4 linked regions of the Canis lupus familiaris genome follow. Each later gene encodes a partner of the first gene's protein in a complex. Links are inferred from orthologs where the notes say so. Each region holds a gene or a part of one and is shown in the gene's direction. Other genes may lie near its edges. The genes, in order: TIMM10B, AGK, TIMM22 and TIMM10.

Evidence for each region.
Region 2: TIMM10B (region 1) and AGK share a complex: the UniProt entries of both Homo sapiens proteins name them as parts of the TIM22 complex. The link is inferred for Canis lupus familiaris from reciprocal best matches to the Homo sapiens genes TIMM10B and AGK.
Region 3: TIMM10B (region 1) and TIMM22 share a complex: the UniProt entries of both Homo sapiens proteins name them as parts of the TIM22 complex. The link is inferred for Canis lupus familiaris from reciprocal best matches to the Homo sapiens genes TIMM10B and TIMM22.
Region 4: the proteins of TIMM10B (region 1) and TIMM10 are in contact, whole or in part, in a cryo-EM structure (PDB 7CGP), measured with the Homo sapiens proteins. The link is inferred for Canis lupus familiaris from reciprocal best matches to the Homo sapiens genes TIMM10B and TIMM10. Residues at the interface, in NP_036324.1 of Homo sapiens: Gln7, Leu11, Leu14, Arg15, Phe17, Leu18, Leu19, Tyr21, Asn22, Arg23, Met24, Thr25, Glu26, Cys28, Phe29, Val33, Pro34, Ser35, Leu36, His37, His38, Arg39, Leu41, Glu46, Leu49, His50, Ala53, Gly54, Ile57, His61; in NP_036588.1 of Homo sapiens: Ala6, Leu9, Leu13, Glu16, Met17, Asp20, Met21, Arg24, Ala28, Lys32, Cys50, Asp52, Arg53, Cys54, Ser56, Lys57, Tyr58, Asp60, Ile61, His62, Glu63, Arg64, Met65, Gly66, Lys68, Leu69, Leu72, Asp76.

What each region holds. Positions count from the first base shown.
Region 1 is NC_049242.1:30,303,291-30,310,163, forward strand, and holds TIMM10B (mitochondrial import inner membrane translocase subunit Tim10 B), read left to right. Parts: upstream 1-3,085; 5' UTR 3,086-3,180; coding exon 3,181-3,225; intron 3,226-3,400; coding exon 3,401-3,496; intron 3,497-3,637; coding exon 3,638-3,814; 3' UTR 3,815-4,902; downstream 4,903-6,873. Other genes in the region: ARFIP2 (arfaptin-2), read right to left, coding at 349-570, 754-872, 1,636-1,732, 1,989-2,087. UniProt on the Homo sapiens protein: Component of the TIM22 complex, a complex that mediates the import and insertion of multi-pass transmembrane proteins into the mitochondrial inner membrane.
Region 2 is NC_049237.1:7,417,953-7,425,311, reverse strand, and holds the start of AGK (acylglycerol kinase, mitochondrial), read left to right. Parts: upstream 1-2,895; 5' UTR 2,896-3,012; intron 3,013-3,252; exon of another isoform or gene 3,253-3,674; intron 3,675-4,200; exon of another isoform or gene 4,201-5,654; intron 5,655-5,775; 5' UTR 5,776-5,792; coding exon 5,793-5,893; intron 5,894-7,359. UniProt on the Homo sapiens protein: Lipid kinase that can phosphorylate both monoacylglycerol and diacylglycerol to form lysophosphatidic acid (LPA) and phosphatidic acid (PA), respectively. Does not phosphorylate sphingosine. Phosphorylates ceramide.
Region 3 is NC_049230.1:44,795,205-44,802,642, reverse strand, and holds the start of TIMM22 (mitochondrial import inner membrane translocase subunit Tim22), read left to right. Parts: upstream 1-3,117; 5' UTR 3,118-3,439; coding exon 3,440-3,674; intron 3,675-5,946; coding exon 5,947-6,143; intron 6,144-7,438. UniProt on the Homo sapiens protein: Essential core component of the TIM22 complex, a complex that mediates the import and insertion of multi-pass transmembrane proteins into the mitochondrial inner membrane. In the TIM22 complex, it constitutes the voltage-activated and signal-gated channel.
Region 4 is NC_049239.1:39,104,736-39,111,892, forward strand, and holds TIMM10 (mitochondrial import inner membrane translocase subunit Tim10), read left to right. Parts: upstream 1-2,182; 5' UTR 2,183-2,683; intron 2,684-3,096; 5' UTR 3,097-3,138; coding exon 3,139-3,209; intron 3,210-5,081; coding exon 5,082-5,283; 3' UTR 5,284-5,535; downstream 5,536-7,157.

The sequences.
Region 1 (6,873 bases):
TAGGAGTATGGGAGTGGGTTCTCAGATAAGTTCACAGGACGAGAACAGGGAAAGCTAGTGCAGCAGGCAAGGGGCGGGGAGGGGGGCTCTGATTAGGCCGAGCACCGATGCAGAGAAGGGTTACTTGTGAGGCATCTAGTGTGCCGCCTCCCCCACCCCTCCAACTTCTGAACCTCTGTACAAACCCTTAGGCTGCCTCCACAGGTGAGTGCTGCTGGGGGTAGGGCTGGGCCTACCCTGGAGGGGTTCTCCCTCTGGGCTGCAGGAGGGAGGGAGGGAGGCTGAGGGCTGACTGCCTGGGAGGGCCCGGGCCCAGTCCCCCCACCCTCTTTGGCCTGACCAAGGCACCTGAAGCTCTGGGGACTTCTGGCTGAGGTCAGCAAAGGCGTCACCTAGTGCATGCTGGGTCTGCAGCAGGCTGTAGAGGTGGGCTGTCAGTGCCCGGCCCAGCTGCAGGACACTCTCATACTTGCGCTTCGTCTCACGCAGCAACTCAATCTGCAGCTCTAGCTCCAGGTCCACAGTCCGGGAGCCTCGGCCAAATCGCTCTGATAACAGCTGCTTTGTGCACTGATTGGGAAGTGGGGGAATAGGTCAGAGACCCTAGCACCCTGCCCCCCCAACAGGTATCTACCCTAGCATCCCAAGGCTCCTCGTCTCAGACAAGGATGGGAGAGTGGAATCTGGAAGATGGGGAAAAGGTACCCAGGGGAAGTCTGGGGAAGGGGAAAGGGAAAGGTGCTTAAATCCCACCTTATATGTGTTGATGCCCCATTTCTTGACGATGTCAAACTTTTCTCCAGCGATGCCCCGAGCCACCTCATCTCCCGGGCCAGCAGGAGTGGTACTGTGAGATGGATGGCGGCCAGACCCTAAAGAACCAAGTTCTTTGACACCAGCCTCTCTGATATAACCAGACATCTCTGTGGCTCCACCCATACTTCCCACCGACCCCACTATGAAATGACTTTCCACCGACTTCCCACCATGAAAATGACTTCTCTGAAGTAGCAGAAACTAGAAATTCTCCTACTCACTAGGAAGAACTCATACCTTGTGCCCTGAAACCCAAATCCCAATATATATCTGGCCTCCTCCTGAGATGGTGATGGGGGCTGGAGTGGGGGGAGGGAGGGAGTTGCTGATGTACAGGGGCAGAGAAAACAGAAGAAAATATGCTGAGTATTGGGTGGCAGGTCAAGGATGGTGGGTTCCTGACAATAGGAAATCTCATTGACGTTCTCATGTGGAATCCTAGTCAGTGTGAAATTCAGGGCTATTTGCTTCTCTAAACTTGAGAATCTGAAGCAAAACTTTGAGAAGCTTCAGAGTTCCAAATAAGTCTCAAGCTCCAAAGCAGGAGAACTTCTGCAAAACAGTTCGTAATGTGATTCAGGTGGTGGCAGCAAAGAAAGGACAAATGGACACATCTCAGGGCTAAATGGCAAGCGGGAGCAGTTGGACAGCCCTAGGCTCTAGCCTTGGGCTGAGTAGAGTCCATTGGGCTTGTACTAGCAAGAGTTCCCAAAATCTCCAGACATAGTTCAAGCTATCTTAGGCATATCCTATACTCCCCAGAACCATTCCACTCCCTCTGTCCATTCAAGCTTCCTGTCCTGTTCTGATCATTCATACCTGTGGGGATGAGTCCATCACCAGAGCCCCCATAGCCACCAGACACAATGCTGGTTTCATTGAGGTTGGGTCCTGACACCATCACCTGCTGGAGGTCCTATAGGCCAGAGAAGAGGGGGGCTTCAGGAACATTGGGGCAGCTGAAGCATTTGGGGGGTGAGAACAAGCTTGGATTGAAGCATCACAGAGAGAGCACACAAGGGAAGTCTGCATAGAATCAGAATGAAGATATGTAAAGATTGGAGGGAGTTAGATAAGTTAGGGGAAAACTCCTGGAATGGGGTGAGAGCCCAGGGCTTATGATTTTGGACTCCTAAATTGAAACAATATGGAGAAGAATCAAACAGAAGCACCTGCTCCAGCCCATCATCCTCAGGAAGCTGCCCGGCTTCACCGTTCCCGTGGATGGGGATCTCCATTGTGGCTGCCTTCCCTAGGATCCCGTCCGTCATGGCTAGGGAAGGGATTGGAGTCAAAGTCTCCACCCCAGCGCCCTGCAAAGCCCAACACAGACAGTTCTGGAAACTAGCCAGTACTCCCGAAAGAAAAGTCTCCCCCACCATTTCAGAGATTTTAGAGGTTGTCCCAAGACTTGAGTATCCTGGGGTTCGGCCACCACTCCTTTCTTCTCGTAGATATGTATTTCTCCCCTCCAGGGTGTGTATCTTTCCACATGCACACCCAGGTCCCCAGTATCTTCTCACGGACCCCCAACCCCACCAGGACTCAGGTGATCACTCATGCGTTCAACCATTCAACAGACTACTATTTGAGGTCACAGCAGTGGCCAAGGGAGAGAAAGTCTGTGCTGTTTTGGAACTTACCCCCATGCAGCTGTTTCCTCCCATCAGATTAACCCCTTTCCAGGGCTCAGGAGCCTACTCCTCCCGCTCTGGTATGTTCTCCATTGCTTGGCCTCTCACACTCCCTTAGGGTTGCTTCCCCTTTCCTTCAGGTGGTCTCTCCCTCCTCCATCCCATGCACCCCCTCCTCCTGCAGCCCTCCCCCTGCAGGCCCTAGTTGAATCAGTTGGTGTCCGTTCTTGGCCTCTGGGAAAAGCCACATTTTCCCAGCACATAGTGATCCCTTCCAAAGTCAGTTATGTCCCCCAGGTGTGTTAGTCCCCGCCCCCCCCCCACCCCACACCTGGGCATCAGGTGTGTCCTCATCCTTCCCCAGGGCTCTGTAGCATCTTTCCCTCGGGGCAGGCTCGTGCATTCAACTTCCCCTTGCCCAAGTATGTCCTTCTCACCTCGGGCCGGGCCGCTCTTCCCCTCAGGGCGCCAGGCCCGGGCCGCGCGGGGACCTCGGGCTCCAGTTCCCGTCGCGATCCTAGCAGCAGGTCAGGGACTCGGCGGAAGTGACGTCCCCTCCCGGGCAGAAGAAGCCGGCCACGTCGCAGACTATAAGGGCGGAGATGACGTTAAAGCCAGGGGCGGGGCGATCCTTGAGGCAACCCCTCAGTCCCCGGGGAGCCAGGAGAGGTCACTTCCGGGGCGTTACCAAGAGGCTGTGCGGAAGTGACGTGCGTGCGCCGGTGGCGCGATGGAGCCGCAGCAGCAGCAGCAGCAGCAGCAGCAGCTGAGGAACGTGAGTGGGTGCTAAGTCGCGACGGGGCCATCAGTTCAGCTGGCATCTTCGTCCGTTTGGCTGGAGGGCGGAGGGTTGGGAACGTCGCGCTCTGGCGCGCCGTCCTGGGAAACCTCGAGGGCGCGGCCTCGAGGTGCCCCCTTATCGCTGGGCTCTTTGTCCCCTTCTCTCCTAGTTGCGGGACTTCCTGTTGGTCTACAATCGGATGACGGAACTCTGCTTCCAGCGCTGCGTGCCCAGCTTGCACCACCGAGCTCTGGACGCTGAAGAGGTTAGGTGGGGTTCGCCGTAGACTGTCCCCAACCTCCACCGCCCCTACCTCTGGCCCGGGCCTTTCCATGACCCTTGCCCCTGGGCCAGGGATGGGACGGACACCAGTGGACACCAATGCTTCACCCTGTCTTCCTTCCAGGAGGCCTGTCTGCACAGCTGTGCTGGGAAGCTGATCCATTCCAACCACCGCCTCATGGCCGCTTACGTGCAGCTCATGCCGGCTCTGGTACAGCGCCGCATCGCAGACTACGAGGCTGCCTCAGCTGGGCCAGGTGTTGCTGCAGAACAGCCCGGAACCTCACCATCAGGCAGCTAGGAAGGGAGGCGCTGGATGGACCCTCAAACTGAAGGAGCCAGTGGACCTTGGGCTGGATGCAGCCCATATATAGAGTGAGGGGTTGTCTGACAGCTGGGTAGTATTGCTCCTTTTCTTGGAGCCAATAAACCCACTTTTGCACTGTTTGATTTATGTTCTGGGCACGGAAGCTTTGCCCGCTTTATTGGCCCCATCCTTTATCCTGTCAGCGCATATCTGTTGGCTTCAGCCCTGGCAGTGGAGAAATTGGCTTCTATGTGTAGAAGGAAAACCTCAACATTTCCTGGCACCTGGTTAAAACAAGGCCTGTGGGTACAATTTTTTCTTTTGTAAAGAGTTTATTTATTCACGAGACACACAGAGAGCGGCAGAGACATAGGCAGAGGGAGAAGCAGAGGCTCCCTGTGGGGAGCCCGATGCCGGACTTGATCCCAGAACCCCAGGATCCTACCCTGAGCCAAAAGCAGACGCTCAATGGCTGAGCCACCCAGGTGCATCTTACTTAATTCTTTCTTTTTTTTAAAGATTTTGTTTATTTATTTATGTGAGAGAGAGAGAGAGAATGAGCAGGGGGAGGGGCAGAGAGAGAAGCAGACTCCGGGCCTAGCAGGGAGCCAGATGCGGGGCTTGATCCCAGGGCCCTGGGATTATGACTTGAGCCAAAGACAGACACTTAACCAACTGCACCCAGGCACCCCTGTGGTACGATTTTAATGTTAGTAATAGCAATAGGAAGTTGGTTCCTGCCCAGATGGCAGAGAAAATAAGAGCTCTTCTTGTTGTCCTTCACTTAAATCTGACTTAATGGTTTATTTGTGAGCTGGGTGTGCATTCATTTATAACTCTTTTCATGGGCTCTAAAGAATTCTCCTAAATTTAGGGGAAGGAGGAGATACCTAAGAATAACAGATCAAGAAATCACAGGGTTTTTGTATGCAGTGCCTTCTGGAAAGTCAGTAGCCCCGTAACTGAAATGAAACCTGTAAGATTTCGGGGTGTTCTGGAACTTCAGCCATTTTCCCAAGTTGTTATTTTCTTATTATTTTCTGTCTTCCCCAGGATGAGCAGTAAAGCTTTTACACAAAGAAGGTCTGTGTGCTTGTCTTCAGGAGCAGTCAGAAAGGGGGAACTTGGAGGACCATATTCTACAATATAGCCAGACCCAAGGAACAAAAGCTCAGGGGAGAAATAGATGATGATGGTTATGGGGAAAAAGATAAAACAAATCCTTGGGACCTCTTTATCGTTACCTCCAAGTCTATAATCTAATTCCAGCTCTTCTGTCCTCTACCCATCATTGTTTTCATTGTCCCGGTTTTGTTATTTCCATGCTGAGCCTCTCTATCTTTCTCTCATTTATTGCCCTCATAAAATTTACTTGTGCCACCATTCTAAATGGCCTATCACCCCATCACCGCATTTTCTTGCCTCCCTTGTGTCCTTTTTGTATCATTCCAGCTGTTTTACCTTTACTGTTCTTCTGTTCAGACTGCTAGACAAAAACACAGCTGTGTAATGAGTGGCACTAACCATTCAAGGTCTCCAGCGTCAACCAACAAGCAACCCTTTGTGGCTTCCTGGTATATTTTTGTCTCCTAATCACCAAGGCAGTTAGTTTACACCTTCACTGCTCTTATCCCCCATTTCACGTTCAGCTATCCTCCATCAGGGGACCATGTTTCATTTTTTACGGAGGAAATGGAAGCTCTTAGACATTGGCTCCCATAAAACTCCTTACAACTACCCACAAAGCAGACATTTTTTCCCCTATGTGGATCAGGAAGTTGAAATTCTCTAGTAGCAGACTTTATTAAGATACAGATTAAGATATTAATCTGTATCTTAATATTAAGATATTAATATCTTTTTAAGATACAGATACAGATCTGGCTTTAAAATCCATGCACTTCTGGGCAGCCCCAGGGGCTCAGTGGTTTAGTGCCACCTTCAGTCCAGGGCGTGATCCTGGAGACTGAGGATCGAGTCCTGTGTCAGGCTCCCTGCGTGGAGCCTGCTTCTCCCTCTGCCTGTGTCTCTGCCTCTCTCTCTCTTTGTCTCTCATGAATAAATAAATAAATAAATAAGTAAATAAATAAATAAATAATCTTTTTTAAAAAAATAAAATCCATGTACTTTTTATTACACCAGGCTGCCTCTCAAAATACCATTGAGCCATCTGATTTGTATGGGTTCCAGTGCTGGTATATGTCCTGCTTTATCTCAGCCTTTTTTTTTTTTTTTTTTTAGATTTTATTTATTCATGAGAGATGTAGAGACAGAAGAGAAGCAGGCTCCCTAGGCTGCTGCAGGACTCGATCCCAGGACCCTGGGGTCACACCCTGAGCTGAAGGCAAATGCTCAACCACTGAGTCACCCAGGCATCCCTATTTTAATCTATAGCAAAACTACAAGTAAGAGATATTATTCCCCACTTAATGGATGAGGAAGCAAGAATCCAGAATGTATCAGAGCCCCATGTTTACGTAGTTACCTCTTGAGAAAAGTTGCTCCAAATGGCTTTTCATCTCTTTAGTTCCTATATCTTCAACAGATGGTTGCTAGGAATGTACAAGCTGCTGACCAGGAAATTCCCTACTGAATGGGTTTGTGTCTACTCATTAAAATTTTCTCCTTGGAACGTAAAACTTCAGCTAAAGCAGCTTGTGAACTTAACCAGTTCCAAGACAGGAATGGAGACCTTGAATACTGTGCTGCTGGTGGGAGGACTCTTCCGTGGACATTTGCGTGTATCCTTGCAGTAAATTTCCATTGCGAATCATCTGTTTCCATGTCACATAATTACTACTTGCTGGAGCAGGGCTGAGAAAGATCTGTCTTGACTCTAGAGGCTATGTTCTTTGAATTTCCAGAATTTATATTTGTTTGCTCATGTGCACCCAGCCTGTCCCTAGGGATGAAAAAACAAGTATCCATCAATTAATCCCTTAAGTTTTTAACCTCTTCTTCCCTCTCTGTTTATAAATACGTTCAGTACGTAGAAGAACTCTACTGTTGCTACCTATCTCCTGTAGTCACTGACATCTTCCTCAGGTCTCATC
Region 2 (7,359 bases), on another chromosome or scaffold:
GTATCTTAAACTGATATAAACCCCCTCCTTGCAGTATACTCTTCACCCAGATTTCCCAAACATTATCCATAACTTATAAATTATTTACCATTTTCACATCTACTGCTTGCTTCTCTGATTTCTGGTCTCTTTCTTATAAAGACCTTTGTGATTACATTGGACCCACCTGGATAATCCAAGATAATCTTCCCATCTCAAGAGCCTTAACTTAATCACCCCTGCAAAGTATTACTAGATTCTAGGGGTTAAGGATATCTTTAGGAGGTCATTGGTCTCTCTACCCCAGTGTTTAGTGTTCAGTGCCAACACTCTGAAGACGGGAGAGGAGGACACAAGATTGGGCCGAGGGAGAAGCTGAACTGGGTTGTGTCCGACAGCCTCGGTTGACCCTGTGAGGAGCTGTGGGGCTCTCAGAGGTGATTTGCTTTAGCCCAAATGACCAAGCGTTTGAACTCCCTTCTAGATCAGTCACTGGATGTGGGCCACCTCCAGAAGGGTGTGACATTGGTGAAGATGGCTCACTGCATTGGGTGCTGTCCCCAAGGGGGCTGACAGCTGAAGGTCTGACCACCCCCAGCAGCTGGGACAACAGGTGGTGCATCACCATGTCCAACACTCAGCGCTGGTAAGGATGTCTGAAAAGAGCATTTGAAAAGTTTCTGTGTTTTAGCGTCATTTGTGTCCTTACACATTTATAAACTACATGTTTAAGATTTGGCTTTCACTATAATCCCACATAGAGTGGGAGTGAGGGGGTGGGAGATTAAGTTCTACAAAGCATGGACAATCCTTAGTTAACTTGTTTATCACTGTGTCCCTCTGGAAATGATTCAAGGGGACAGTTGTTAGCTTAACCAAAGGGCCAACAATAGCCTTACTACAGGGAAAATATTAATGGCATGAGTCATAAAACTAAATGGGATACTAGGGCAACACATTAAAATGTCAGTAAATACGTGTCATGTAATGGGTACAGTTAACTCCTTGAAGATGAATTTATGACTAATTTATGACTTAGTCCTATTTTGATGCAGATATTTCCCATTTGCAGGTGACATATCTGAGTCATAGTTCCCCCGTTTCTATCTATACAAGCATGCGATTTAAGGAGAGAACACAAGGTCTCTTTCAGAGACCTGCCATGCCCCTCCCCGCCTTTTGCACATGTAATTCTGAAGTTTTTATTCTGTGGAGATGTCTCATCTTTTCTAGTTTCATAGTCCAGGTAGAAACTTGGGAGTTGTTTCCAGATTTTTCTCCTGGGAACACAACAGGCTGACATCAACGTCCCCATTCACCACAGTGAATTAAAGGCTTCATGATAAAGAAAGAATGTAAGCTAATGGATATTCCCATGGCCCCCCTGAGCACTTTTCAATGAGGGATGGTCCTGAGTGAGGCCTGCTATGCTATGCAGCTCTGTGTTCTCCCTCCCATGGAGGGGCTGCCTCTCTCCTGGGGTGTCGTTTTCTCCCAGGTGGATTGACCTGCTGCCCTTCTTCACAGGCCTTCTGGGCACCTGCTTTGTGATGCCTGATGTTTCCAACTGTCCATGGCTCCAACTCAAATAAAATCAAGTTCTCCTCTCCTAAGTTTTAAGAGAAAACTTTTGGGCAGCCTGGGCGGCTCAGTGGTTTAGCGCCTGCCTTCAGCCCAGGGCCTGATCCTGGAGACCCGGGATGGAGTCCACGTCAGGCCCCCTGCATGGAGCCTGCTTCCCCCTCTGCCTGTGTCTGTGTCTCTGCCTCTCTCTCTCATGAATAAATAAATAAAATAAAATAAAATAAAAAGAGAGAGAGAGAGAGAAAATTTCTCTTTAGATTTTCTGGTTGGGAAGTTATGGTACGTTCGTTCATCCGAAGAGAACGTTTCTCATTTTTGGAAACCACTGTTTTGCGGAAGCCCTAAAGCTTAGTCTGCCCATTGGGCCATCCGGCGCGAAGTCTTCAGATTTTTCTAGCCTTACAGGGATGCAGTTCGGCAACTCATTTTCAAGAGCACATGTCCTAAATAGCTGGGAGAAGAGAAGTGGCAAGAACTGTCTCCCATACCTTTAGTATCACAACATTTTATAGCTAGAAGATGTGTTTTACGATGATCTTCTTAGCGCCTACTTTACAGACAGAGGAGAGAGGGCTGCAAGTTCCCATGACCTAGGGTGGCCCAGTGAGGATTGGAACCTGGTAGGGTAGGGTGGGCCCTACCGCACTATACCCGCTGGATGTTGCGGTGCTTCCTAAGACAAGCATGTAGGGGAAGCCAGGGAGGACGCACGTTTACCTGGAGCAAACGGGGAAGGCAGGAACCACGCGGGGTTCCACGCGGCAGCGCCCCGCACTCATCAAAGTTGTTTGGAGGAATGATGGGGAAGGAGGGAGGTAGGAAGGAGGTAGGAGGGCAGCCTGGACGGGCTGGCGTGGTGCCAAGGCTAACGCGGGGGTGCGGGACTCGAACTGCCGTCGGCCCCGGCTCCTCCGCGCGGCCGGAGAGCGATGCTGGCAAGTACGGCAGGTGCCGTCACCCCCGGGCTCCCCCCGCACGCGCCCCGGGCCGCTCGGTGTCCCGTGCAGGCCGCCCTCCGCCCTCCGCCGCCCGGGGCGCACCTGCCGGCGCGGCACCTGCTCCCCCTCCCATCAGCCCCCCCCCCCCCCCCCCCCGGCGGGGCCAACGCGGGCGCCCGCTGTCCGACAGCTCGGGGCGGGGGGCGGGGGGCGGGTTGTGTTTTGTTCTGTCGTTTCCTCCTGCACGTGCCCGGCTCCGTGGTTTTCCGACACCGCCGGGTCCCGAGACACCGCCCTCCCCGAAACTCCGCGGGCGCCGGGCGGGGCGGCGGGCGGCGGGCGCCGGAGAAGGGGCGGCCCCCGGCGGGCTCCCGCGCAGCACGGTCCGCGGGCGGGCGGGCGGGCGGGCGCAGCGGAACCCGAGGGCGGCGGCGCCGCGGTTTCCCTTAAAGGCGCGGGGGAAGCGTGAGGGAGCACACAGGAAGCCGGGGCGGCGAGCGGGAGCGGCCGGGTGAGCGGCGCGGGGCCGGGGCCGGGGCCGGGGCGAGCGGCGGGGCCCGCGGGAGGCCTCTGGGGGGTGGGGCGGAGCGGCGGGGGCGCCCCCGGGGCCGGAGGATGGGGGCGGGGCGGCGGGGGGCCTCCCCCGGGGCCGGGGGTGCGGCCGGGGCTGCCTCAGAGCGGGGGGCGGGGCGGAGCGGAGCGGCGGGAGCCGCCCCTGGGGTCGGGGTGGGGGCGGGGCCGGGGTCCCGGGGGTCCCCCTGGGAGTCAGCTGGCCTGGGAGCTGGGCCCCGAGCCGTCGCTGCCCTGGGCGACTCCCCCGCCCCCTGTCCCCTCTGGGCCTTTCCGGGCGGTTTGGTGGATGGGTCGGTTCATTCATTCCTGGTGCTTTACCTGGTTGTGTTTGCTGGAGGCGCCTGCCCACCAGAAATTGGGAGGGTTTTTTTTTTTTTTTAAATATTTTGTTTATTTATTCATGAGAGGCAGAGAGGCAGAGACCCAGGCAGAGGGCGAAGCAGGCTCCACGCAGGGAGCCCGACGCGGGACTCGATCCCGGGTCCCCAGGGTCACGCCCTGGGCCGAAGGCACGTGCTCGACCCCTGAGCCACCCGGAGGCCCCAGACGCGAGATGTTCATTTGAACGCATCACATTCAGATCTTACCCGAGATTGAGGAGTAAGAATACTGCTGGGTACTTAGAGGAAGTATGCACCGCTGGTTAATAGAGTGCACATTGCCGTGACAACTTAGATACAGATGAGATCTTTTTATCCAGATCACTTAATCAGAGCAGGTGTTGTATCCTCATTTTACTATCGAGTAACGTGGGTTCACAGCCCCAGCAGGTGTGATTTTTGCAGCCAGCTGAGTTGATCAGAGCAGATGCCGTCTTCCCATTTTACGAACAGGGAAAGGGAGGTGGAGGCCGAATGACTTACCCAGGTTCTCACCGCCTGGAAGTGAGAGAGCTGCCCTGGCATCTAGGCCTCAGGATCCTCGCACCGCTGCTCATTCCGCTATACTCGCTTGCCTGCGAAAAAAGTGTTTCCACATTTTTGTGAATGAAGCACTGTTCTGTAACAAAAAAGGAGTTCCATTGGCTCGTGGATGGCCTGTAAACAGACTTTTTTTTTTTTTTATCAACTCTCAGGTTGTTCTCTAACAGTATTGGCATACCCCCCGCCCCCCCCCCCATCCTTGCCTCCGGTGGTTTTTGGACCTCCTCCACACGGACAAGGCCCAGATCTCTATCTCCCACCCAATTTCTCCTAGCTTCAAACTGCTAAATCCAGACTGGTCATTTGGATAGCCACTTGGGTATCCTGCAGGCATCTCAAATCCACCATCTTCTCAACTGCACACACTACCCTTCTCCACAAACCCGCGGTCCAAATCTAATGATTGAAATCCTCGCCCAAGTGCAAACCTGGCTGGTTTCTCCTCTCACCTCCTACAAGTGAGGAAGTGAGGTTTATAGTCAAGGAACAGGGTAGTGATCAGTGGATAGAAAATTAAGTTTGATGAAGAGTGGACAGTCATGGAGGAATATGCTAGGTTGAGTATGAGGAAAACGGGAAACCTAGCAAGGCCTGTAAGGATTCTTCTTGGCATCCCCGTGTCTCCAGAGATGATGATCCCTTCTGGGTTTAAGGAGGGCAACCTCATAAGTGAGGGTTTTAGGACTTATTTCAGGAAAGAAGGGTCAGGTGGGGAGGTCAGAGTGACCTTTCATTGGTCACTCTGACCATTGTCACTCATTGACAATGAGTCAATGATTGGTGGTCACTCATTGTCTCAGACTCCTTTAGCTTAAAATATTCAATATGCAAAAAAAATTAAATTAAAAAAATAAAATATTCAGTATGCTAAGTTGCCATATTTTGGGGTGGTGTGTCCTGAACCCCATGACATTCAGCAGTTAGCACTGAATGGGTTGTGGGAGCTAGATCTTATTTTAGGAATGGGGATACAGCAGTGACCAGAACAAAGTCCTTACTCTTGTGGAGTTTACAGTCCTAGTGGGATAAGCTAATAAATGAGCAAATAAGGATCATCAAATGGTAAAAGCTGTGAAGAAAACAAACAGAATAAGGATATATATTGTCACTTGGTTTTTTAATAAAGTTGTGTGAACTTCCTTTGCTTACAGCAGTGCATGAGTGTGTCTATCTCATTTTGTCATCAGTGAATATGATCATTTAAAAAATTTTGGTTTTAGAGGTGAACAGTGCTAATTCTTTGTGATTTGCATGTCTTTGATTACCTAGAAAGTTGAACATTTTCACACAGTTGTATTCGCCCTTTGAATTTCCTGTGCGTGTTCTCCGCTTATTTTCCTATTTTGGGGCTAGTGTCTTCCTCTATTTTGAATAAGCCTTCTATGGTACTTATTTATTGTTGAGGCCTTTGTATATAGTAGACAAATACTCTTAAAACAGTGGTAGAGTGACTAGGGAGGGAGAAAATGCAGGAAGCCTGGAATTCCCTTCTCTGCTCTTCTCCGCTTGCTTCTGATACGGTGAGACACAGGTGAGCAGAGAGGCAAGAAGTGAGTTTAGGTAGAAAGAAGTGAAGAAAGAAGAAAGGCAGGTGGGCAGTGAGAAGATGAAGTTGATGAGCCTACAAGGGAGCAGACGGGAAGAGGCCGGAGGTGTGGTAAGGAGGAACAGACGTGAGGGAAGGAGAGCAGAGAGGATGGGCGGATGGAAGGCACTCGGCGCTCTACACGGTGAGCTTAGGTACTTACCTTTTTCTTTTTCTGCCTCTGTGAACCTAGCAAATCTTTAGGAGAAGATGACGGTGTTCTTTAAAACACTTAGAAATCACTGGAAGAAAACGACAGCTGGGATCTGCCTGCTGACATGGGGAGGCCATTGGCTGTATGGAAAACACTGGTAAATACATAATATTCCCCACCCCGCCTTCACCTCCAACACCAAAACCACCTAAAGGGGCCTGAGGTCAAATCTTGCTCGACTGAGCTCTTTCTTCTCTGTAAAACATCATGGCGTAAAAGATAAATATATGTTAAAAGCACAAAGACAAAGGCTTCTTGTTGTAACCAGTCCTGGAAAATTGTACTAGCAGAGCCATCAACTCTGGATGATAGTAGTGAGATCGGAAGCTGAAGAAAGGGAGAGAAGTCAACTCCCAAGTTTTGAGTAGAAGGGTTTGAACTCCCCTGTCTCCTTGGGATTTTATAAAATTCCTTCAGTTTCTTAACTATGATCTGTTATCACTGTTGTGTTAGACCCTGACTGATTCTGCTAGCTCCAGCCCCTGTGACTTTCCACATTTATCCCATTAGCCTGGGTGAATTTAAATGAGACTAAGACATTCACACCTTTTGTTTGAATACGGAATTCAGCAGTCCTGGGTTTTATTAGTCTCCAGGCCTGAGAGCAGAAGAAAGTGCCCGAGCTCCCCTCTGGTTTAACATGGTAATAAGATTTAAAGAAAATTTTTGTATAAAAAATTATATAAATAATAGAGCCAATTAAATTGTCGTCTTTTGGGGATTAAGGGTTACAGCTTAAGTATTTAAGGACACTGCAGTCCAGGTGCCTTAAATGACTGCTTTGTTAAGCAGAAGACAGCTTTTGTAAAGGTAGTCAGTAGAAAGGAAATTCATATTGATATTTTTGTAAACTGTCTCCATTTGCCTTTGCCTCAGTCAGGATAATCTTAGGATGCAACATGGTGTCTAGTTTTTTGTAGCTGTAGATTAAAGGTAACATATCCCTCCTTTCCCCCTAAGTATTCTCAAGGCTCAGTGCTTGAATTCCATTAGCTGGCATGTAAAGAACAGACCTGAGAAGCTTAAAATTTGTATTATATTAAAAAAAAAAAGATGGAGGAAATGTTTTGACAAATGCAATATGAAACATATAACGTGTGCCCTTTGTCCCTCTTCTAACTACCCTAGAGTCCTTACACCTCCTGCCACGATGGGAACTAGGATTCCCTCTGCAGGAACACCCAGTCCAGGCCCCCGCTAATGCAAGCAGGAGGACCCTCCCACACCCTGAGAGTCAGTGCTGTTTCTGCTACTAGGCGAAGATTTGAGGAAATAACCATGTACCCTGTTCAGGATGTCTCGTGCATACCCTCATAATTTCTTGCCAGTGTCGTCTTGAGACTTGAAAAACAGCCCACTCGTTCTGAATTAGATCTGAGAGATCTTGAACAGAAATGCAGTAAGCCTGGAGGCCTCATTTTGCTCTCTCTCCACCCTTAATGTTCAAGGGTGCATTCACAATGCAAACTCTTATTGTCCTGTTGCTCTTCCTTTTCTCAAACTTTTCTCCTGTATTCTGTAGTACCGTATGGCCTTTTTGTTTTAAAATCATAGTGGAAAACA
Region 3 (7,438 bases), on another chromosome or scaffold:
CTTCCCGTGGGGAGCCTGCTTCTCCCTCTGCCTATGTCTCTGCCTCTTTCTCTGTGTCTCTCGTGAATAAATAGAAATTTTTTTTTTTTTAATTTTCCTCTTTAACTGTTCCCTGTTCTCTCTGGCCCACTGAGATGCTTCCCTGTTGCCTTGTGATCGGGACAGACAATGTGACGTGGGGAACCAAACTGTAACACGAGGCTGCTGGATTCCCAATGATGCCAGGGCCAGATAGAGTCCCCAGACTATTGGCAGAGGTTCAGCCCTGGGAAACAGACATGGGAAACCACTTTTCACTTTCAGAATATGCTTGGAGAGGTTCAAGTTTTCCATCAGAAAACTACCTATGGAAGGAAATTGGGTGAGTGGAGAGAGATACCAGATCAGTGTCTGTAATTGTTCTCTCTCCATCTATGATCCAGGCCAAGGATGTTCCATAAAAGGCTCCCTCATTCATGTACCTTGGCCACATGGAATTTCTTCACATGCTGACCTGGACCTCACCTGAACTCTAATGAAGACCCTTCATTTGGGGATTGATTATTACTCTCTAAGTAGTTCCATGGGTTAATTATTTAGACCATTCCTTGTTTTCCAAGGCCACCTTACCTGGGACTTGCCAAGGGTGGGTGGGGGGTGGCTGTCCCAGGTTCTCTCAGATCCAACTGTAGCTCTGAAGATCTTGGCATGGGGCATCTGAGTGGCTCAGTTGATTAAGCATCTGCCTTTGGCTCAGGTCATGATTCCAGGGTCCTGGGATCGAGCCCCTTATCAAGCTCTCTGCTCAGTGGGGAGCCTGCTTCTTCCTCTCCCTCTGCCTCTTGCTCTGCTACTTTTGCTCTCTATCAAATGAATAAACAAAATCTGAAAAAAGAAAAAAAGACTTCAGCATAAATCAGAGCTCTGGGCCCTTCATTCATCTGGAAGGAAAGGGTGGTTGCGAGGGCATGTTGAGTTAGAGGTGCTTATGGGAAGTGTCTGGTTCCTGTGTTTATGAGAAGGGTCTAAGCTGAAGATGAAGATTTGAGAGTCATTTTTTTTTTTTTTTTTTTTTTTAGATTTGAGAGTCATTAATGCAATTTGAGGTGGAGTAGAAGCCACGAAGATGAGTTGCTCAGGTAGAATGAGCTGCGGAGGAAGACGGTAAAGGATGAAGCCCTGAGAGGACCAACAAGAAAAGGCCACGCAGAGGTGCGTGCAAAGGAGATGGAGCATCTGGAGAGGCTGTAGCAGAACTAGGAAAGAGGGGCTCCACTAAAAATATGAAGAAACTTCAGACAAGAAGGGAGACAACAGTGTCAAATGCAGTACAGAAGTCTAGTAAAATCAGGCCTGAATTAGATTCAACAACTAGGGGACTCCTGGTGGCTCAGTCGTTTAAGTTTCTGCCTTCGGCTCAGGTCATGATCCCAGGGTCCTGAGATCGAGCCCTGCATTGGACTCCTTGCTCAGCAAGGAGTCTGCTTCTCCCTCTCTCTCTGCCTCTGTGTTCTCGCGCGCTCTCTCTCTCAAGTAAATAAATAAATCTTAAAATAAGAGATTCAACAACTGGGAAATCCCTGGGGACCCTCAGACCAGCCCACTCAATGGCTTGGTGGGAACAGAATCAGGGTGAAGCATGAGGTAGGAAAAGACATTAGGGTTCAAAGCCAAGGGTCGAGAAAGAATTCTTGAAATGTCTTTGGTGCAAAAAGGTGATTTTATGAAAGCACGGGGACAGGACCTGTGGGCAGAAAGAGCTGCTCTGGGGTCATGAGGAGCGGCCTGTTCATATACTTTAAGTTGGGAGGGCTTAGAGACACCTTAAGTCTCTAAGGAATTTTGGAAGCAGGGTTTCCAGGACCTTGATGGGGTAGCTATTGTTGGGAAAAGGCCATTTACTACTGTCTGATACAATAATGTCATGGGCCCCTTCAGATGAATATTGTTAGGTCATATGCTTGGGGGATGATCTCCAACATGTATCTTGGGGGGTTAGAGATAAAGAAAATTTCTAAAGGAATTTCTATATGTTAAAGTAGACTTACAGGATCCTAAGATTCCCTTCTGCCCTTAACAAAGTATCAACATGGAGGCATTGAGTCCCTAGAGGAATGTCACTCTGCCTGTTTCAAGGTCTTGTCACTGGGCTGTAGGGAGTAAGAAAATTTAGCAATTTTTCTTCTGCCTTTGTTTTCCACATCAAAGCATATGCTGTGCTGGGATGCACTGAGAACTTCGGGTACCAAAGAAATATCTCTGCCCACCTCAACTGGCTATGCTCACCACCTGTTTCCATTAAGGTTTCTCTTAGCTAAAACACTCAAATACATTGCTAGTCTGGACCAATGCAATAGTGTGGAATCTATTTTAGTAACATAAAAACTAGTGCAAAAGTTTTTCTGGATTCATGCATAGTACTACCTTACAGTTTACCTTCAGGTTCTGAGTCTGCAAGCTGGTGAGCACTTTAATTGGTTTCACATAATCTAAACCTGGCTTTCCAGGGCAATGCTAGTCCCACATCACCAATTCCACCGACAACAATAACTGGCTGGAGCGTGGGTAGGGGCCCCGGCCTTGCCCTCTCCACCTCCTTTTCTTTTTTTTAATTTTTTTTTTATTTATTTATGATAGTCAGAGAGAGAGAGAGAGAGAGAGAGAGAGAGAGAGGCAGAGACACAGGCAGAGGGAGAAGCAGGCTCCATGCACCGGGAGCCCGACATGGGATTCGATCCCGGGTCTCCAGGATCACGCCCTGGGCCAAAGGCAGGCGCTAAACCGCTGCACCACCCAGGGATCCCTCCACCTCCTTTTCTTACACTTAGCTAGCTTCGCTCATTAGTTCACTCATTTGTTGGGCCCCTTCTCTCTCCGCAAGGGTTTAATTGTCAAATAAAACATATATTGCATACACTTATACCAGGCTTTTACGTTTATTCACAAAGCACTTTCCACCATTTACCTCTCACCACCCCTGCGAGGAAGGAGTAGGCTGGAAGGGCAGCGGCGCGGTGCGTGCGCCCCCTGGCGAGGCTCCGGCGCGCTGCAGCCTCGCGGGGGCGCTCCTCCGCCCCCTCCCCGCAGTCGGGAGCTCCAGACGAGGCCCCGAGGCGCGCGCCCGCGCAGAGCCTCCTGGGAGATGCCTGGGCTATACAGATCGCGGTACCCCCCGCGCTGCCGCCCTGACGAAGAGGGCGCTTTCTGGTGACTCTGAATCTTGTTCATTAGGGCCGTTTGGATGCTGCACAAGCCTGACTCGGTATTGACAAGGGGCTTTTGGGGAACATGGTATCTCTTTCGCCGGAGGCACGAACGGACTTCGCTGGCGTCGTTTCTTGCACTTGCTCGTTGTGGCGAATCTGCCGTTGCGTCACGGGGGCTAGGCGCGCCCTAACGTGAAGCTTGCGGAATCTGCTGTGGGAAGAAGAACGCCAGGGTTTCTCGAGCATCTGCAGTCATGGCGACTACCCCCAGTACGGGGGCCTCCGCGCCGGAGGCAGCGGGTTCCGCCGAAGCCCCGCTGCAGTACAGCCTTCTTCTGCAGTACCTGGTGGGCGACAAGCGTCAGCCCCGGCTGCTGGAGCCCAGTAGTCTGGGCGGGATCCCGAGCCCGATCAAGAGTGAGGAACAGAAGATGATCGAGAAGGCGATGGAAAGCTGCGCCTTCAAGGCGGCGCTGGCCTGCGTGGGAGGTGAGGCAAGACTAGGGGGCCCGGTGGGAGGCTGAGGGCTTGCACGGCAGCGGGGTCCTCTGCCAAGAAGACCACGGCCTGGGAGGCGAGGAGCCTGTGGACCTCGCTCCTGACTGCACCCCTGCCTGGATCCGTGAGCTCGGGTGACCCCTCTCTAGGCCCTGAGGTTCTTTTTCGCCCCTGGAAATTGGGTCAGAGAATCGGTACCATATGGGTTGGGGCCTAAAGGTTATAAAATGCCTGCCTTCATTCGTTGGTTCGCTTTTAAATAAGCATTCTTTATTTTTTTTTTTAAGATTTTATTTATTTATTCATGAGAGACACAGAGAAAGAGGCAGAGGGAGAAGCAGGCTCCATGCAGGGAGCCCGATGTGGGACTCGATCCCGGAACTCTGGGATCATGCCCTGAGCTAAAGGCAGACGCTCAACTGCTAAGCCACCCAGGCGTCCCTAAATAAGCATTCTTTCAACGAGTTGTTAAAAGTAACCGTCACGTGCTCAGGGGTGGAGGGACAGGGTTAGAGACCAGAGCCAGGTTCTCATGAAGCTCACATTTTAATATATATATATATATATATATATATATATATATATATATATATATATATATATATATATATAGAAACAAGAATGTTGGGAAGGAGCCAGGCAGGAAAGTGGAACATGGGGGAGCAGCAACTGCCAAGGTCCGGTAGGAGCTGGCTTCCTGTTTGAAAAACAAAGGACAGGGGTACCTCTGTGGTTCAGCAGGTTAAGCATCTGCCATCAGGTCGGGTCATGACTCCAGGGACCTGGGATCCACCCCGCCTTGGGGCTCCCTGCTCAGCGGGGAGTCTGCTCTCTCCCTCTCCCTCTCCCTCGGCCCCTCCCCCAGCTAGTGCTCTCTCCCTAGCTCGCTCTCAAATAAATAAATAAAATCTTAAAAAGAAAAAGAAAACAAAGGCCAGTGTGGACAGTGTGATTAGATGGTGGGAAACAAGGGGGAAAGACTCCCCCCCCACACACACTTTTTTTTTTTTTTTAGACCTTTTGAAAAAGGATTTGAGAGTGTATGGTGTCCCTCCTGTAAAGAGGTTGGCCACATTTGCAGATGAGTTGAAATCTCATGAGAATGAAAGACAAGAAACAAATACAGTGGGAGTGCAGGTATGTAGTAGAAAGAGAGCAGTATTTTTATGGTTTGGGGAAGGCTACAAGAGGTGAGACTGCAGCTGTATCTTGAAGGATTGAGAGAATGGGGGTAAAGAGGAGGAGAAATGCCCTTTCAAGTTGGAGGTGGAGTTGGGGCTTTGGGCTTTTTTGTCTTTAGGCATTAGAGCAGTAATTGATGCACATGATGACCCAGCATAGAGTGTGGTGAAGAAAGAAAGTGTGGGTGGGAAGACGGCATAGGGAATTTGCAAAACTGAGGTGCAGTGCAGCCTGGCCTTGGTGTTTGTTCATCATTATGTCCGACCCTACTACATCACTTACATATTTGTTAAAATGATGAATAAGTCTTTGTAATGCTCTAGAGTGGGAGTGATACAGGCCTTAGACTAGGATGATAACTGTGAACATAGGGTTGTAGGGGAAAGCAAAGAACCGGTCAGAAATGCCCTTCAGCTTTGGAGTTGGAGTGCCTGGAAAGAAGGAAGAAAGTCTGGAGGGAAGGTGCCCATGACTTCATTAAACATATTTTGACCTTGGGGTGATGAGAGGACATCTATATAGAAGTGTCTAGCAGGCTCAGAAAGATGGGGACAGCAGTGTATGGTTGCTATTTGGTAGCTTTGTGACCTTAGGAAAGTTACTTAACCTCCCTGAGCCTCAGCCGATTCAGCTGTAGAATGGAAAGGGTAATAGTATCTACCTCACGAGACTATTGTGAAGAATAAAAGGAGCTGTGACTATAAAGCATCAGAGTGATTGGAGCATGGTACTCACTAAATGATAGTTATGAATGTCACCATTGTCAAGGGAGTGATTTGCAAAGTTGAGAGTTGAATGTATGAGTACAGACAGAACAGAAGGTTAAAGATCGAATCTTCAGGAATGTTAGAAAATGAAAAGAGGAAGAAATCAAAGACTGAGAAGAAGATGTCAACAAGATAGTTTACGGCTTGTGTGATGTGCAACCAGATAACTGGAGAGTTTGGTAAGATGGAGTAGGGGCGGTAGGTAGGGGGTGTCCTCTTTGCTGGTAGCCAGCCAAATGTGCAATTCGAGTATGACCTCATTACAGTAACCCAGAAAACATGCCAAAGAAGTCTTCATCTGTGTGTCTTTTTAGGATTTGTCTTGGGAGGTGCCTTTGGAGTGTTCACTGCTGGCATTGATACCAATGTGGGCTTTGACCCTAAGGATCCTTACCGTACACCGACAGCAAAAGAAGTTCTGAAAGACATGGGACAGAGAGGAATGTCTTACGCCAAAAATTTTGCCATTGTGGGCGCCATGTTTTCTTGCACCGAGTGTTTGGTAGAATCTGTAAGTGTCTCTGCCTTCTGAGAAAGACTTGTACCATCTTATGACTTCTAAAGAGCGCTATTAATTAGAAAGCAGAGCAGAAATGTCTGATACTTGCTAGATTGAATTTTCATTGAATAGTTCTGAATGTAAACTTTTTGTGCATTTATTGCATTTACTTGGGCTTGCATTGTTTTTTACGTTTCTTTGTAGGCTAGAATTTGGTTAATGATTTATTTTTTAAATTTTGTAAAATTCTAGTTAACATACAGTGTAATATTAGTTTCAGGCATACAATATAGTGATTTCCACACTTCCTTTTTAAAATTTTTTTTATTTTTTTATTTTTATTTTTTTTCACTTCCTTTTTTTTTTAAAGGTTTTATTTATTTATTCATGAGAGACACACAGAGGCAGAGGGAGAAGCAAGCTCCATGCAGGGAGCCCGATGTGGAACTTGATCCCGATATCCCGGGACTGCGGGATCACATCCTGAGCCAAAGGCAGACGCCCAACTGCTGAGCCATCCAGGTGTCTGATTCCACACTTCCATACAACACCTGGTGCTCATCACAAGTGCGCTCCTTAATCCCTATCACCTATTTCACCCATCCCCCACCCCCTCCCCTTCTGGTCACCATCGGTTTGTTCTCTGTAGTTGAGTTTGTTTCTTGGCTTGCCCTTTTCTCTCTTTTTTTCCCTTTGCCTATTTGTTTTTGTTTCTTAAATTCCACATGAGTGAAATCATATGGTATTTGTTTTTCTCTGACTTATTTTGCTTAGCATAATACTCCCTAGCTCCATCCATGACATTGCAAATGGCAAAATTCTTTTTATAGCTGAGTAATATTCAAGTGTGTGTGTGTGTGTGTGTGTGTGTGTGTAAACATCACATCTTTACCCATTTGTCAATAGATGGACACTTGTCCTGTTTTCATAATTTGGCTATTGTAGATAATGCTGCTATAAATATCGGGATGCATGTTTCCCTTTGAAGTAGTATTTGTATTCTTTGGGTAAATACCTAGCAGTCTGCTGGATTGTACAGTAGAGCTTTTTTTTCTTTTAAGATTTTATTTTTAACTACTCTCTATACCCAACGTGGGGCTCGAACTCCTAACCCTGAGCTCAAGAGACACATGCTCCACTGACTGAGCCAGCCAGGCACCCCAAGAGTTCTATTTTTAACTTTCTGAGGAACCTTCATACTGATTTCCAGAGTGGCTGCATCAGTTTGCATTCTCACCAGCAGTGGAAAGGGGTTCCCCTTTCTCCATATCCTCACCCAACACCTGTTGTTTATTGTGTTGATTTTA
Region 4 (7,157 bases), on another chromosome or scaffold:
GAGAATATTATTTAAATGGAATTATATAGTATGCTTTCGTAACACCTAATAAAAATCCTTTTTTTTTTCTAATAAAAATCCTATCGAGGAAACAGATTACACTTGTAAGAACTCGTTTTCCCATGCGATTTCTTTTTTCTTTTAAAGATTTCATTTATTTATTCACGAGAGGCAAGGTCATAGGCAGAGGGAGAAGCAGGCTCCTTGCAAGGAGTCCAACGTGGGACTCCATTCCAGGACCCTGGGATCATGCCCTGAGCTGAAGGCAAGCTCAACCGCTGAGCCACCCAGGTGTCCCTCCCATGCAATTATATTCCATAATATGTTGACTATATTATTAAAAGCAAAAACCACTACAACATGTGTCCACTAAAACATACATACAATAGTATTCACAGCAACATTGTCCTAACAGCCCCAAGCTGGAAACAACCCAAAAATCTATCAACAGTGAATGGATAAATTACCTGTGGCTCATTCATACAATCTAACATTAGACAGCAATAAAAAAGAATGAATAATGGTTACACACAACAATGTGGATGAAATCTTAGACGCTACATTGAGCTAAAGAAGTCAGGCACAAACCAGCAAATAGTGTATGACTCCATTTACCTGAAGTTCAAGAATAGGCAATAGAAGTCAGAATACTGGTTAACTTTGGGAGAGCCGGTATTGACTGGTCAGGAACATAAGATAACTTTTAAGGGTGTTGGAAATACATTGTATTTTGATCTGAGTGGTGCTTATGAGCATAAATATATATTTAAAAATTAAGCTTAAATTTTATGTATTTTAGTCATTTTCCTGTATAGATGTCATACCTTAATTTTATTGAAAAAAAATTTTTTTTAAGTAACCTCTACACCCAAGGTGGGGCTCAAATTCAGGAGGATGGCTGGGTGGGGGGTGGGGGGAGGTTTGGAATCAAGAGTTGAATACTCTACTGACTGAGCCAGCTAGGGGCCCCTGTTATACCTTAAATTTTTTTTAAAGTGTGTGTCTATGAATTGAGAAATATTTATTTTATTTATTTTTAGTTTTTAACTTTTTTATTTTTAAAGATTTTATTTATTTATTCATGAGAGACACAGAGAGAGGGGGGCAGAAAGAGGAAAGGCAGGGTCCATGCAAGGAGCCTGATGCGGGACTCCATCCCGGAATCTGGGATCAGGCCCTGAGCCAAAGGCAGATGCTCAACCACTGGGCCACCCAGGCGCCCCTATTTTATTATTTTTTTAATATTTTATTTATTTATTCATGAGAGACACACAGAGAGAAAGGCTCCATGCAGGGAGCCCTATGTGGGACTCCATCCGAGGTCTCCAGGATCACACCCTGGGCTGAAGGCGCCGCTAAACCGCTGAGCCACTGGGGCAGACCTATACCTTACTTTTTTTTTCTATACCTTAATTTTAAAAAAGATTTTATCTATTTGAGAGAGAACGCACGCGCTCAAATGTGCACGTGGGGAGAGGCAGAGGAGGGAGAGGGCGAGAATCTCAAGCCCATTCTGCACTGAGCTGGGGGCCAGGGCAGGGCTCTGTCTCATGACCCTGAACCGACCGAGCCACCCAGGCACCTCTAGCTTAATTTTCAAGGATTGGGGCACCGGGTTTGCGAAAGAGGAGTCCTTGGAGGAGACATGAGGGCTGAATTTAGGATCCTGACTTTCTTGGGCAGTGAGGGAAGCATACAGTGACCAGCCATACAGCGTCCGGCCCACCTCCTCCAATGGGCAGCGGACGCTTTGCATCTTGTACACTTTGTTTACTGGGAAATCCCTTGAGAAACAAAAGGATTGGGGGCGGGTTTCTGTGGTGTAGGGGTTCAGATGGAGCAACGCACGCACGGGGTCTGGAGAGAGCAGCTCACAGCCCCTTCCTCCTCCTCGCTCTGATGCACTAGGTTAGCCCCGGCGGCAGCCAACGTTGCTCTTGTTCATCTCTCTGGGCCGGGGCGTCTGGAAGTTGCGCGGACCCGGCTCGTCCTCCTGCGAGCCCGGAGACAGCTTAGCACCTGCGGGCCGCTGCGCTCCCTCCGTCCGGGGAGCTCTGGCTCGCAACCTCGGCTGCACCAAGAAACCGCCCGAGGTCAACTGAAACATTTACTGAAGTCTGCGTCCTGCTCCCAGAGGTTCTGATTTGCTTGGTATGAAGCGAGGCATGGGCATCGGGGCACTGGGAGCGGCCCGGGCGACCGTAACGAGCAGCACAGACACTACGGCCTTGGAGGGCGTCCTTCCTTCTCCGCGCCGCGCCGGGGTCTGTGACCCGCCGTCGAGCCTCGGGGGCTGCGGCCAAGCTTCGCGGAGCCCCGCCCTCCGGCGCCCGCCTACAGACAGTCGCACTGTGACCTCTCCGCCGAAACCCTGGGGACGGCACCGCCAGGCTGCAGGCGCTCTGCACTGCGCCCAAGCCTCTATGGTATTTTGGCGTCCCCTCTAGCCCTTGCAAGTCGCCTTCGGGCACGGCCGGCGGCTCCTCTCTATGGTAGCCGATTTCCCCGCGCCGCCTCGTAGGGGCTTCACTCCGGAAGCGAGTCCGATCAAAGGGGAGGCGGGACTTCCCTCCCGGAAGTGACCCACGTGCTTCCGCCTTAGCCTACCTGGGCGTGCGGCGGCTGTCTAGCGTTTGCGCGAAGTTGAGGACACCGCGGGCACAGTGACTGGCCCCAGGCCGTGGTAAGTGACCGCTCGCTTCAAGGTGACCCCGATGCACCTCGCCGCCACGTCAGAGGTGCAGCCCCTGGGCCGGGACCCGTGGACCTTTAGCACCGCGTGTGATCGAATTCCCAGGGCCCTGGAGGTTCAGGCCCCGCGGTTCAGTGTTCCTTTCCGGTCCCGAGATCTTTTCCTGGGTAGAGTGGCCACGAGGGGCTGGGGCGCCAGGGCTCGATTTCCAGCCCCTCCATTGACGTGCTGTGTTCCCCTTCCGGGCCTCAGTTTCCATATCTGTGAGATGGGATAGTTGAGCCCACTGAGGTCAGTGACCCCTGCCCGCCCGGTGTCCTATGATTGTTCCGCATCCTCTACGTCCCCCTGGGATGGGAAACGGAACGGGAGGGCTCGAAGCTGACGGTGATGTCCGCTCCCAGGACTAGGAGGCCAGGAGATCTTTCCCACGGCGCAGCGCTGAGATGGATCCGCTCAGGGCCCAGCAGCTGGCTGCCGAGCTGGAGGTGGAGATGATGGCCGATATGTACAACAGGTGAGAGCCGACAGCGCGCTCCTTGTCTTTGACAGTGATCCTAGGTCACCCTTCCTCAGGGCACCTGTCGGAGGGTGCGCACCCCCACCTACGCTCCTCGTGGCTGAGGGCCAATGCAGACGCGGTACGGGTCGCTAGAAGGAGTTGGACATCTAGGTTGGAATGCACTTGGCAAGCGAGAGAAGCCCCAGTCCAAGCTCTGGTTGGCTTTCAGGAACGGTTGAGCGTTTGCCTTTGTGGCAAACAGCACGCAGCCCGCTTGGTGGTTTACATTTCTTAAACTCTTACTCCACCTCGGGCACATGCTGAGCATTCTACGCGCCTTCATCTTTTGTGATCTTCAAAATGATCCACCGGGTCGGTCTTAGTTGTCCCATTCTAAGGTGAAGACATGGAGGCTTCTAGAGGTTAAATAACATTCACAGGGCTCACAGTTGGTCAGTAGCAATGTCAGGACCAGGACCTCGGTCTGACTCCAAACGAGTGCCCACAACCATTTGGCAGATGCGGGAACAAATCATAACTGCGCCAATCACCACTAGTGTGGCCGTGGGCAAGTCACTTGGACTGCTTAGTGGTTTTCCTGTCTATAAAATGGAGGTGGGGCACATGATGGTGCAGTTGGTTGAGCATCTGACTCTTGATTTCATTGCAGGTCGTGATCTCAGGGTCATGGGATTGAGCCTCACATTGGGCTCTGCACTCAGCAGGGAGCCTGCTTGACATTCTCCCTCTCCCTCTCCCCTGTTTGCCCACACACATGCCCGCGCAAGTGCTCGCTCTCTCTTTCTCAAATACATAATACTAGTTCTTTTTAAATAAATGAATAAATATTGCTTCTAATCCTTTTGGCTAAGATCAAGTGTAAAAAAATAAATAAATAAAATGGAGATAATAATGGTGCCTACCTCAAGGAGACATTATAGATGTTAAATGTAGAAATGTGTGACAAGGGGTGCCTGGGTGGCTTAGTCGGTTAAGTGTCTGCCTTCAGCTCAGGTTATGGTCCTGGGATCGAGCCCCACGTCCAGCTCCCTGCTCAGTGGGATGTCTGCTTCTCCATTTCCCTCTGCCCCTCTCGTTGCTTGTGCTCACTCTCTCTCTCTTAAATAAATAAATAAAATCTTTTTTTTTTAAAGATGTATTTATTTATTCATGAGAGACACAGAGAAAGAGACAGAGACACAGGCAGAGGGAGAAGCAGGCTCCTCGCAGGGAGCGTGATGACTCAATTTCAGATCCCCGGATCACAACCTGAGCCAAAGGCAGATGCCCAACCACTGAGCCACCCAGGCGTCCCATAGATAAATAAATTCTTAAAAAAAAGAAATGTATATAACAAGCTCTTATTGGGTTTGTATCATGCCCAGTACAAAGTAAGCAGTCCACATGTTTTCTGGTTTTATTGGCTTCAGCTCCATGGTATTTTCTCTTGATGGCTTATCTTGAAGGCTGTATATTAGAATACTTCCAAATATTTAAATAATTTAAAAATGCAGGCCATGAGGTCCTGTGGGTTCATATCCCAGCTTTACAGGATCCTGAGGCTCTCCATGCCTGCATTTCCTTATCTGTAAAATGGGGATAAAGATTGTGCCTGCCTCACAGGGTCATTGTAAGGACTGCATAACCAGCCATGTCAAGCACTTAGCATGATGCCTGGAACATACCCAGTAGTCAACTAATGGCTCCTGTTTAAATAAACTTGGGCTCAGATCAGGTGAGCACTCTCAAGGACCTTCTCAGTTAAGATGCGAACTGAGGATTTACACTGCCTTCCTGGGATGTGAAATTAGCAGGGCAGGCATGATGGAGAGTTCCTGGTTGCCTCAAGATGCTGCTGAGCTGACCTTGCCCTTCCTTCCCCTCCAGAATGACCAGTGCCTGCCACAGGAAGTGCGTGCCTCCCCACTACAAGGAAGCAGAACTGTCCAAGGGCGAGTCCGTGTGCCTGGACCGCTGTGTCTCCAAGTACCTGGACATCCATGAGCGGATGGGCAAAAAGTTGACAGAGTTGTCTATGCAGGATGAAGAGCTGATGAAGAGAGTGCAGCAGAGCTCTGGGCCCGTGTGAGGCCCCAGACAGTATACACCCCAAGGTGTGCCCTGCCCCTTCCCACTCGCCTAATAAAAGTGCCCCTATTGGGTGTCATCTGTGAAGACTCCCGGGCCTCGGCTCCCTCTGGAGAGCCTCCAGGAACCCAGAGTATGGTAGAGTTACTCTCCCCGGTTGGAGAAGGGGTATTTGTCACACTGTGATGTGACTGTGTATGTACGTGTATGTGTGTGTGTATATATTAAAACAGATTTGTTGACACCTACCACACGGAAAGCAGTCTGCCTGGCATTTGGGAGCAGGGGCAGCAGACACAGCCTCCACCAGCAGAGGGAGTCTAACGTGTTTAAAAGCACAGACTAGTGGGAAGTTTTAGGTTGTACTCCAGGTCAGCCACTTGCTGAACATGTCACTTCACTGTGCTTTAATTTTCTCATCTGTGAAAATGAGGATAATCATCTGGTGGTTGTGAAGATTAATGGTTTAATACGTTTATGGCATTTAGAATGCTAACTGGGACAAAGGAAGTGCTCAGTAAATACTAGCTGTGTACATGTGTTTAACAATTTAAAATTTAAGTGGAGTCAGGTGGGCAGTTTTCCAGATAATAAAGGAATATTTAGAGGAGCAAGTAACAGGAGATGGGATTTGAAAAGGAAGTAGCCAAGCCAGTCCCTGGATTCTAAATGGCAACATGAAACATACGAAGGGTTCAGCTTTGTGTGTGATGTGAGTGATCAGGAAGTAAGTGAAAACCACTGCCATTCACTGTTCACCTGAATCAGGGACTGCACTCCTCACTCTGCATGTGGTATCTGATCTAGCTCTTTCTACCATCTTTCTGGGCCGCAGTATTGGTGCATGTGAATGTCCTGGCAGATGTTCCACAAGAGCATTAACAATGCTGAAAAGAGGGCAGCCCAGGTGGCTCAGCGGTTTAGCGCCACCTTCAGCCCAGGGCGGAATCCTGGAGATCCAGGAGATCCAGGGTCGAGTCCCACATCAAGCTCCCTGCATGGAGCCTGCTTCTCCCTCTGCCTGAGTCTCTGCCTCTCTCTCTCTCTCTGTGTCTCTCATGAATAAATAAATAAAATCTTAAAAAAAAAAAATGCTGAAAAGAGGCAAATGCCAGGTTCTGATTAGGCCATGCTCCAAAGTCATTGTCTGGTTTCTACTTGTGATGATGAAGCATGGTTACATTGGCAAATTTGAGTTTATGGATAATTGCAGAGCTGGGAAAATTGTGAACCTCACGGGCAGGTTTAACAAGTGCGGAGTGACCAGCCCCAGATTTGATATCCAGTTCAAAGATCTAGAAAAATGGCTCCCGTCCTGTCCTGCCAGTTTGGTTTTATTGTCCTGACAACCTCAGTTGGCATCATGGACTGTGAAGAAACAAGATGAAAACACACAGGAAGGAAAATCCTGGGATTCTTTTTCTAGGGAGGTAATATGTACAAATAAAACGCCTATTCCATTCAGCTGGGCTAAGGGGACCTAGTAGGCAGGGGGGTGCTCAGAGCAGTGGTTGCTTGCTTGAAGTGTCATGAGAGGAGCAGGGGCTGACTGCTACACTTGCTGTCTTGCTGAGACCAGTGCCTCCAGTTCTGAAGTGTCCTGGAGAGCTGGGCAGCTTTCAGAATGGCTCACTCTCTCTAGGTGGGATTTTGGTTGACACTAATGCCACTGTGGCTGCAGTGCCTTCAGAGTAGGGACAAGTGGGTGTCAGGGACGAATCCTCTCAGGTAACTGAGCATGGAGTAAAGGAAGCACTAGAAACGGAGTTGGGTGCTTAAAAGTTCAGCCCCATGGGCGTCGGGGTGGCTCAGTCACTTGAACAACCAAGTCTTGATTTTGACTTGGGTCATGGTTTCAGGGTTGTGAGGTTGAGC